Arabidopsis thaliana: one gene and its partner. The protein of the gene in region 2 interacts with the protein of the main gene of each other region in a pairwise test. Each region holds a gene or a part of one and is shown on either strand. Other genes may lie near its edges.

Evidence for each region.
Region 1: the proteins of HTA2 (region 2) and YAB5 interact in a two-hybrid assay, tested with the Arabidopsis thaliana proteins (one large-scale study listed by BioGRID).

What each region holds. Positions count from the first base shown.
Region 1 is NC_003071.7:11,302,893-11,309,210, reverse strand, and holds YAB5 (plant-specific transcription factor YABBY family protein), read left to right. Parts: upstream 1-2,200; 5' UTR 2,201-2,471; coding exon 2,472-2,543; intron 2,544-3,461; coding exon 3,462-3,581; intron 3,582-4,229; coding exon 4,230-4,338; intron 4,339-4,429; coding exon 4,430-4,478; intron 4,479-4,584; coding exon 4,585-4,660; intron 4,661-5,219; coding exon 5,220-5,288; 3' UTR 5,289-5,292; intron 5,293-5,400; 3' UTR 5,401-5,756; downstream 5,757-6,318. UniProt on the Arabidopsis thaliana protein: Promotes adaxial cell identity. Regulates the initiation of embryonic shoot apical meristem (SAM) development.
Region 2 is NC_003075.7:13,636,586-13,640,415, forward strand, and holds HTA2 (histone H2A 2), read right to left. Parts: upstream 1,851-3,830; 5' UTR 1,741-1,850; coding exon 1,552-1,740; intron 1,137-1,551; coding exon 930-1,136; 3' UTR 651-929; downstream 1-650. Other genes in the region: AT4G27220 (NB-ARC domain-containing disease resistance protein), read right to left, coding at 1-151; AT4G27240 (zinc finger (C2H2 type) family protein), read left to right, coding at 3,575-3,830. UniProt on the Arabidopsis thaliana protein: Core component of nucleosome. Nucleosomes wrap and compact DNA into chromatin, limiting DNA accessibility to the cellular machineries which require DNA as a template.

The DNA of each region.
Region 1 (6,318 bases), on a different chromosome or scaffold from region 2:
GTAGAAATTAGACAGACAATAGTAACAAGTAAAAACTAGCTACAGTAAAACCTCTATAAATTAATAATGTTAGGACTACGAAATTTTATTAATTTGGAGAGGTATTAATTTATCGATAAATTAATAAATATTAATTTATAGAGAGATTTTCCTAATTTGGTAACTTTTAAAAAAATTCTATAAGATTTTTTTCATTATAGAAAATATTTTCCTAGAACCAGTTACAAGTAAAATATAATAATAATGTCTAGAAAACAATACCAAAAAATTTGATCCAATAAAATATGAAAACTATAGTCAAACAAAGAACAAATATGAATTTAAGCAAAAATATATTATAAATATATTTTAAAGAATTTTTTTACTTATAATATATATATATATATAGTTGATATATTTATACAATTATTAATTTATGATATTGATAGGAACATATATTTACATAGAATTTTCAAAACAATTATTATCTTATTAATTTATCGATTTGTGTCACTTTTTACACTGGTCCCAACTCAGGACCGGAAAATTTTATTAATTTACAGAGGTTATTAATTTATAGAGTATTAATTTATAGAGGTTACACTGTATATGTGTAGTTAGAAGCTTTTTAGTCATCACATGATTTAAATTTATTTCTAAGATGAAATAGACAATCTTTAATTTATATATATAAATATTATTTGGGTTACTCGTATAAAGGTCTACCACTTTTCAGATGTTTAGAACTCTCTCTTCCTTTCTCTATCTAACAAACCCTAATGTCCATCCAATCAGTTATCCAAACTAAAAGAAGTGGACTCTAACAAACCCTAATGTCTAATCAGCTGTCCAAAATAGCATTTGGCTCATCCCTAACTAAACCTGAAATATATCAAAAAGTTAATTACCAATGAAAGCATATAAAAAACATTTGGCCACTTGCTTTCATGCTGGTCCCAGCTTTTGCACCCTTCCGTAGCCACACTACTCTTCTCCTTTTTTTTTCCTCTTTCCCCATTTCTATGAAATAGTTGTCTAGATTTTACGAGTCTGCACATCCTCATATATTTTTTTATTGATTTGGTGATCCAATTTTTAATATGAAAGAATGAAAAAAATATTGGGGTCTTTTTAAAAATGTAAGTCTTAAAAAAAAAAATATTAGAGAGAACCATATATCATATGAAAATGTTGATTTCAGTTTATCAATTAGGATGATAAAACTATTTAGTGTATTATTAAATGGTACCTTCGAAAATTTACATAATTTTTTCTTAATTTGTGTGAATTTTGTTTATAATTAATGATACTCTTAGGAAAAGTGAAAGAGAGTGAGTAGCTTTTTATTTATTTCTGATTTGCATTTATATTCAAGATTTAGAAATGAATAATACAGGTAAAATTTTCATCTATTGCTAACCATAAATGCCAAGTTTTAAACAATCAACCTTTTTATAATTCAGCAGTACTAGTCTACTAAACAATCATACATTCGACAAAAGAAAAAATTCAACCCTAAATTTGATTGAAGTATCCCACGAATAATGTCGAAGAGGAAATGTTCTCATCTACCTTTTTTGTTGCTGTTGTTGTCATCAACGTTCTCATATACCAATCTTTCTTTATACCATCGATATTATAGTATCTCAATTTAGTGTTCTTGGAAGGAAGGCCGACATACAATATTCTCGCGCATACAAATATTCTTCCATTACTACATACAACATCTTGCATATAGCCGACTCCCCCTGGATTGGTTGTATAACATTATGATTCAAAATATTGTTTAGGCAATCATCACTTTTAAAAAGAATTATATATCGAACTTAAATTTTGTAAATTGCTTTAACATAAATATATATATATATATATATATATATTTTTTTTTTTTCTTAGTAATTTTATTTTCACCATAATAGATATAAACGATGTATAGTAAATCATTGACGAAAATATTTTTTCTACAATTTTTTATCTATTCCATAACATTTAGTTTCGTCTCTTTTAAATAAAATATATCGTTTTTTATTGCCGTTAACTAATGTTATAACAAAACTGGTACATTACTACATTTTTAAAAAAATTACTTAACTACTATGTCCATCTCAGTATTTCGATAAGAATTTTTTTTTTTCTTATGGTACGCAACCCCATGAGTGAAGGGACCCTACTCGTTAAAAGACATAGAACATATAGCCTACATGGAAATTCCCAAATCCTTCACATTGCATATAATAATTTTGCCCCTTTAACTCTCATCCTCTCCTTAGGCTTATGTATTATCTTCCCATTTATTCAATTACCTTTATGATCACTTGGAATAGTTGTTGAAGTACAATACCCGTTTTTAAGGCAAGTGTCTGTTCGGGTTGATATATATATATATAGAGAGAGAGAGAGAGACTATATCTTTTCACCTATATAATTGCTCTCTTCTTCTATCTAAATCTTCAACACAAACATCTTGTTTGGTCCTATTTCTCAGATCGATCATGGCTAACTCTGTGATGGCAACCGAACAGCTCTGCTACATCCCTTGCAACTTTTGCAACATAATTCTTGCGGTATAATTGCTATACATATATATCTATTATATCTGCTGTTATATTATATATAATGGATCTATGCTTCTCCAAATATCGTATATATAAAGATATAATCAAGCATAGATCTACCTTTAATTTCCTTTGTACTATATATTGGTTTCTGATAAAGAGTGGTGAAGCTCTTTTCATCAGTTCCACTATCTTACAAATGTTCAAAGTTCTTATTCATTTAAATCTGTTTTAATTTATTTTTGTCAGTGACAAATATTTCATTTAGCTTATGGTGCCAGAGAGAAGTCACCATCCTTCTGCTATACATGACTTTTTTCAGCATCATATAGATTTATTTTCTGCTCTTTTCCTACTTTCCTCAAAGGAAAATCCTATTACGAGCATTTTACTTACCATTTTAAGTTATGACTCATAAGATAACCTATTTTAAAATGGCCATGCATATATTTGTGTTCCTTTTCTTTTTTTTTTTGTCAAAAATATGTGTGTTCCTATTCACTAATCTATAACAAATTGCGCATATTGAAAATGGAGTCACTTCCGGATCTTAAATGGTGGCTACAGCAAAACTTCAAAAGAGAAGATAATCATCTCTCAAGCAACTACTTTTGTTTAATGTCATAAGATTAGATTGCATTATTTCTATTTTGCCTTCTAAACCCATAAAGAACTTAACATGTTACCCAAAAAAAAAAAAAAACCCATAAATGATAGGAATATCTGATCTATATTAACAAGACAAGCAACAACTTTTTCTCCCTTGTCTAATGATAATTATCTTATAACAAATTTTAGTAGCATAAATTTTAGTATAAGCTTTTCGTCGATCTATGTCTTATGGATCATCTAGTAAACAGATCCAATTTTCCAAGAAAGAAGATCAATTAATTAATATTTGAGGTTGTGTTTGGCTAAAACGTGTAGGTGAATGTCCCATGCAGCAGCCTGTTCGACATCGTGACCGTCCGATGCGGTCACTGCACCAATCTGTGGTCTGTAAACATGGCAGCTGCTCTTCAGTCGCTTTCACGCCCTAATTTCCAGGTAACATCTCTCTCCTCAATTGTGAAGGGTTTATTGTAAATTTAAAAAAAAAAAAAAAAAAACTTGAACCAACCCTCTGAAATTTAGGGCTCTTTTGTTTGTTTTGAAAAACGAATGATAGACAGAAATCTGAGCCTCTAGTTGCATGTTTCTGTCTCCAGCCGCCGTCTACATCTACATAGCCCCAAAGAATTTAATATTACTTAAATATTTTACTCTTTTCAAGTCATGTTTAAGTTTATTTTTCCAGCTGTTACTGATATCTGCAGCCTTTTCGTAATTGCTTTTTCTTCATAGAGCCCTAGCTTTTGTTTGATCTATTACTGCTGTCGGTTACTTACTCTATGATTTGATTGACATGAATGTTAGGGTTTCTGGTTTCATAGGTTTGTTTTGTTTTCTATAAAATATATATATCAGATTCCTTTCTTTAAAGGTTTTGTCTTTTAGACTTTAACTACTCTTAAATATGAATGAAATATCTTTTAGTTGGTCCACTTTCTTTTTTCTCTTTTCATTTCCGAAACTAGACAATACATACATGATTGCTACTCAATCCTATTGATTCACCATTTTTGGTCTGAAAAATCAAAGAAAAGGCCAAGTGATTAAATACTCTAAACTTCTTAGCATTTATACTTTTATCAGGCAACAAACTATGCAGTACCAGAGTATGGATCCTCCTCAAGAAGCCACACAAAAATCCCTTCAAGAATTTCAACTCGTACCATAACTGAGCAACGGATTGTAAACCGTCGTAAGTATTGCTTACTATATAAACCTAAAGAAGTAAACATGAAAAGTAATTTGTGTACTGTATATGCTAAAATTATTATATTGTCTTTCAGCTCCGGAGAAGCGGCAGCGAGTACCTTCTGCGTACAATCAATTCATAAAGTAACAAAAACATTTTAGACATACATATATCTATATATCTATATAATGTTCAAATCTGTTAAGAAAGAGGTTATTGATTTGTGTGTTTATATTAAAACCTTTGAAGAGAGGAAATTCAGAGGATTAAGGCGAATAATCCAGACATAAGCCACAGAGAAGCATTCAGCACTGCTGCCAAGAATGTAAGTTTTTATTTCTTTTATATGTTCAAACAGTTTTATAAAGTACTATAAGCTTTTTTTAGCCAAAAGAAATATCTTAAGTTTTAGTAACCAATAAAGAATTATTGCGGCCTCCTTATTTAATTATAGTACATATGTCATAGTAGATGTTTTTTTTATTATTATTATTTTTTATTTTTTTATAGTTTTTTACAAATTCGACTTGGAGACCTTATGATTTGGAAGATACTCCATTTAATTTTATGAGTTGTGTTTGAAAACATATTTTAAGACTAAACACGTAGAGAACATTCTTAACAAATTTGTAAATAAATAAATTTAACTCTATTCTCTAGGATTTAAATATTATAGGTATATATATAATTTTCTAATAAGTTTATATCGAGTCACTCATACGAGTTGTGTAGAAAGTTAATCACGGGTACCAATTTTAAATTAAAAATAAGAATAATTATATGATCTTAAATTTATACAACTCTGATAAAAGATTGGGCTTTGACATCTTTGAAGAAAACTAGATTTAGTAATATTCTGATTAAATTGGGTTCACACTTTGTAGTGGGCACACTTTCCTCATATTCACTTTGGTCTAATGCTGGAGAGTAACAAGCAAGCTAAGATAGCCTAATAATGTAAGTGCTCTGTTCTATTCATCAATTGTTTTAGAGATTCACCTTAGTTATAAATTTTATTTTTATTGTAAACTAACATAAATTTTACTTTTATCTGTCTTGTTTTAGTCTCGAGATTAATGGTAATATAAGTGTTGGAGACTTCGAAGTAACAAGAGCTGAGAAGGCAACTATATGTATTGTATGATCTTTGGAACCGTATGTATGTAAGTGAAGATGTCTATCTTTAAAACCATCTATAGTTATAATTTAGTAAAAGCTTCTTTTAATTTATTTCTATGGCCCTTGTTGTATGGTTCGTCTCACAAGATTTATGAGTTCTTTCGGATATATGAATCTAAAATAAAAAATATGTAATCTATATTATGGTAAACCTATCTTATACTTGAATTATAAATAGTAAATATTACAATAAGTATTTTTTTTCTTTAACGATGTAGCAAATTCTCTATGAGTTAGTGGTTTTGTATCTTGTAACACGGAAACATTATTTTAGCTTTCGGGATACGGTTGTGGTTCTAATTCTTATACTGAATCATACACACGAGATCTAATTACGATGTAGCAAATTCCCTATGAGTTAGTGGTTTTGTATCTTGTAACACGGAAATATTATTTTAGCTTTCGGGATACGGTTGTGGTTCTAATTCTTATTCTGAATCATATACACGAGATCTAATTATATTTGACTCCAAAATACTGACCAAGCTTCTTTTTGATTTTCAAAGCTTTGATGGTGTATAAGAAGTCCTTATAAATTTTTTCTTTCGGATCTTCTAACAGGGAAACAATACTTTAGTACTTTAGATTTGAGATTCGGTTTTAGTTCTAATTCTTATACTTACTTATACACATGAGTTCACTCTCGAATAAATGACTCTCATTTATCCTAATTTGTTAGTTATAACAATTTTCATTGATTGATTTAATTGATAAATAATATTTTTGGTGTTTTTCCTATTTATCATTTTGATGCATTTATCTAACTCTTGAGTAAATGATTCATTCTAATTTTAATTACATTGT
Region 2 (3,830 bases):
TCCTCAGCTTTCGCTCCAAAGATTTCTCTTGGATCCCTGATCTCTTAAGAGCTTCATTCACCTTGGTCTGCACATTCTTTAGTCTCTCCAATGCTCTATTCAACGCTCTTGCGTTCGATCTGAACATGACTCTATGGGCTCTCGAACACATGCCAAAGATTATTTCATAGCCATTCAGGAACCAATAAGTTTACATGCGAGAAAAGGCTATTACGAGATCCATGACTGCTAAGTAGATCATTTCCATGCCATGACGCATCAAACTGGCATTCAGAGATCAAGGTAGGGGGGGTCTTGGTTAAAACCTGGAGGGGTAACAGAGTCTATGGACTAATCTTCTTTAGGATAACAGAGTCTATAGCCAATGACTTTCATCAACAATCTACTAAATTTCGTTTTATTGACATTTGCGACACAAGATATCGCCGAAAACGAAATTGAAATATACCTCATACGAGAGCTCTAAACCGAATCGTCCCTGTCTCTCTCTCTCTCTCGCCTCGATTCTCTCAATCTCGTCACTTCTCCACTGTCTATGTCGAATCGCTTGGTGGCTTGACTTTTCTGTGATTATGGGTCTACTGATTCTTTTTTTCTCGAGTTTTCAACCAAAAACAAAACAAAACAAAAAGTTTAAAAACAAGTTACATGTGACTATGTGTGCAGTTTCGTGTAGCTTATCGAAGGAATTTAAATTGACTTTCAGGAACAACAAATGAATCAGTGAACAATGCTAAAGAAGTGGAGTCAAGACTGAAATAGAACAATTTCTTCATATATTCACATAAAGTGAAACAAAGGTAACCTTAACAACTAGTACAACCACACAGCTTCCATTGCTGCAGAGGAAAAGCAAATGAAAAAAAAAACAATCCTAAGCATTATCTGATATCAACCAGTTTCCAGCTTTCCCTATCTTCGTAATGAACCTAATCTTCTTCAGTAGGCTTAGATGAACCAGCCTTCTTGGGGAGAAGGAGATTGTGGATGTTAGGCATCACTCCTCCATTAGCAATTGTCACATCTCCAAGCAACTTGCTTAGCTCCTCATCATTCCTCACAGCAAGCTGAATGTGTCGTGGAACTATACGGGTCTTCTTGTTGTCTCTCGCTGCGTTCCCAGCAAGCTCAAGTACCTATAGAAAGTGAGCGCACCAAATTCAGTTCCCAAGCAGACATGTTCACATATCCAAAGACAAAACTAAGTGAACAACAACATTTTTCGAATTTGAGAACACAATTGACAGTATCAATCAGTGCCAACTATGATAACTCAAAGTAGTAAGGAACAAATTTAACCCTAATTTCGATAAGCATGATGAGCACAAAGAAACACAAATTGAGCTCAAAACTACACAAAAAAAATGGACAATTTTTCCCAAGAAAAAAACAAACTAAGGAACTAATGCATTCTAAAATATTCCAAATTTCGCATAATTTAACGAAAGGGGTAAGAAAATCTAAAATCCAGAACCCTAGATGCAAGCTATAACCATTTAATTCGGTAAAAAGAGTAAATTAAACAGGTGATAAATAGAAGAGACTGATTACCTCAGCGGCGAGGTATTCAAGAACGGCGGCGAGATAGACCGGAGCTCCGGCACCAACACGCTCGGCGTACTTACCGGCTTTCAAAAATCGAGCGATACGACCAACAGGGAATTGAAGCCCAGCCTTGCTACTACGAGAAGTAGACTTCTTCGCTGCACCAGATCCAAGTTGTTTTCCCCGACCCGCCATTTCTCTCTACTACCCAAGATAGAAAAAAGATCTCTTAGAGGAGGATGAAGCGTAACTGAGAAATTTCTCTCTGTCAAAAATAACAATAATGAGTATCAGCGAAACCCGCCATGATGATTAATATAGTGGCGAGATAGAAAATATTTCTGACCAATGATATGACACTGCATGGATCGATAATCTACACCGTCAGATTGTTACAAGTTTAAGGGACGTGATTTGAGATTCGTGCGCCCACCTGCTTTGTCCTTTTTTTGGTTCTCCGATGATTTCAATGGATTGTTATATGGGCTATATTGGGCTTGTTAAATAGAAATACTCCTTTTTATTTTAACGTTATCTGGCCCAAAATTTAACACTGTTCGGCCCAAATAAATTGTTTCTTCACTTCTTGTACATATGTATTTTCCTTTTTATCAAAATTTCAAAGAAGTTAGGGAGAAGTTATAACTTACTAAGTGTTGTAATGATTATTGTTTGCTTTTTAGACGTATTCTTTATGTGGGTTTAAATTTGGATAATAACAGTTGCAAGTTGTATGACATATTGTGGTGGCTGAAAAGCCACAAATCTTCTCAGTTAGTAAGAACTCAAAAGTTGTAATATTAATTTAGACAACGTTACTTTCGTTGTTATCCATCTCCGGAGAAAACGTTACAATTTGTCAAAAAAGTATTAATGTCAAGCTAATTTCTCCGAAGATGGATAACAAAGAAAGTAAACCCAATGAGAGACATTTGAAAAAATGAGTGACGTGAACGTGGTGGGATGGTTATGATGTTAACAAAAGATCGGTGGATGTACAATACTTGAATTGTTCTTTAGTGTGTAGGATGTTGAAATGTCTTTAATGCTTGAAAATCACAACATAGTCATTATTCGTTTCATGACCTAAAAAAATCATTATTCGTGTTAGAAAGAAAAGGAAAAAGTAATTGGAAATTTATGAAAACAGACAGCTTTTTAGGTTACTGTAGAAATGAGAATTTTTAATACAAAATACTTGTTGGTATTGACAAGTCATACTTCCAATCTTTTTTTTTGTTTCTCGACTCGAATGCTTGTTCGAAGGACAAACACATATTGTGGAGGTATCGTTGTCCGACAGTATATGAAGATTTAAATACAATCCAAACTGCAAAAGCAAAACATATTGGAAGCATTAGATTTGGGAAATGTGAGATTGTACATACTTGTATTTTTAGTCTGAAGACAACCAAATCTACTGTGGCCTCGTGAATCAAATAGTACCATAGATAGCTAAGTTACCTAAGTACAATAACTATTGTCTTGACGTATCGAACAACATGAAAGAAAAATTCATAAGAAGTAAATACGAACACCATTCAAATTTTCTTTATATCCATTTCACACTATTTGTTCCATCCATTTTACGTTAAACCACATTGATTCCGACCTTATTCCACTTGGTTTGTTGTACTTTGCGTTGTGCTGTCCATATTCAAGACCTTTCATATTACCATCAACCCATGTATCCAATACATATGAATTTAACAATGATGAAGAAAACTAACATTATTTTGAGTCTAAAAACACTTTTGGGAGTATTTTCTTGTTTTCATTTAAATTTTCAAATTTTGTGTATCTTCTTATCTTCAGAGCTCTGACGACTCAATAATTATTTTTCCCATTCTCTTCACTATCTCTCTCCCTAGAAAATTGCCAGAAGAAGAAGGTTCTCCAATTCAAAAAAATAGAAACTCGCTACCATTCATTTCAAAAAATTTCTTGTTAAGTTACGTTTTTTTCTTTTTTTTTGCTTCTTTCGTTCTTATTGTCTTAGAAGACAAAAGAGACTAGAGAGGATAGAAAAATGGAAGCTTCAAGCACAAGAAGCGAGAAGAAGAAGAAGAAGAAGACGATACAGAGAGAAAACACCGATACTCAAAAGAAAAAAAAGCTACCCAGTGTTTGGTTTTCACTTAAGAAATCTCTCCCCTGCAAATCTGATGTCTCCGATGTCCACATTCCGAGATCCAAAAAAGAGCTAGCTCCCATATCCACTAAGAGAACAACAACCTCCTCCGGCGGCGGGGTCGGCGGCAGGTCCGGTTGTTCAAGATCCATAG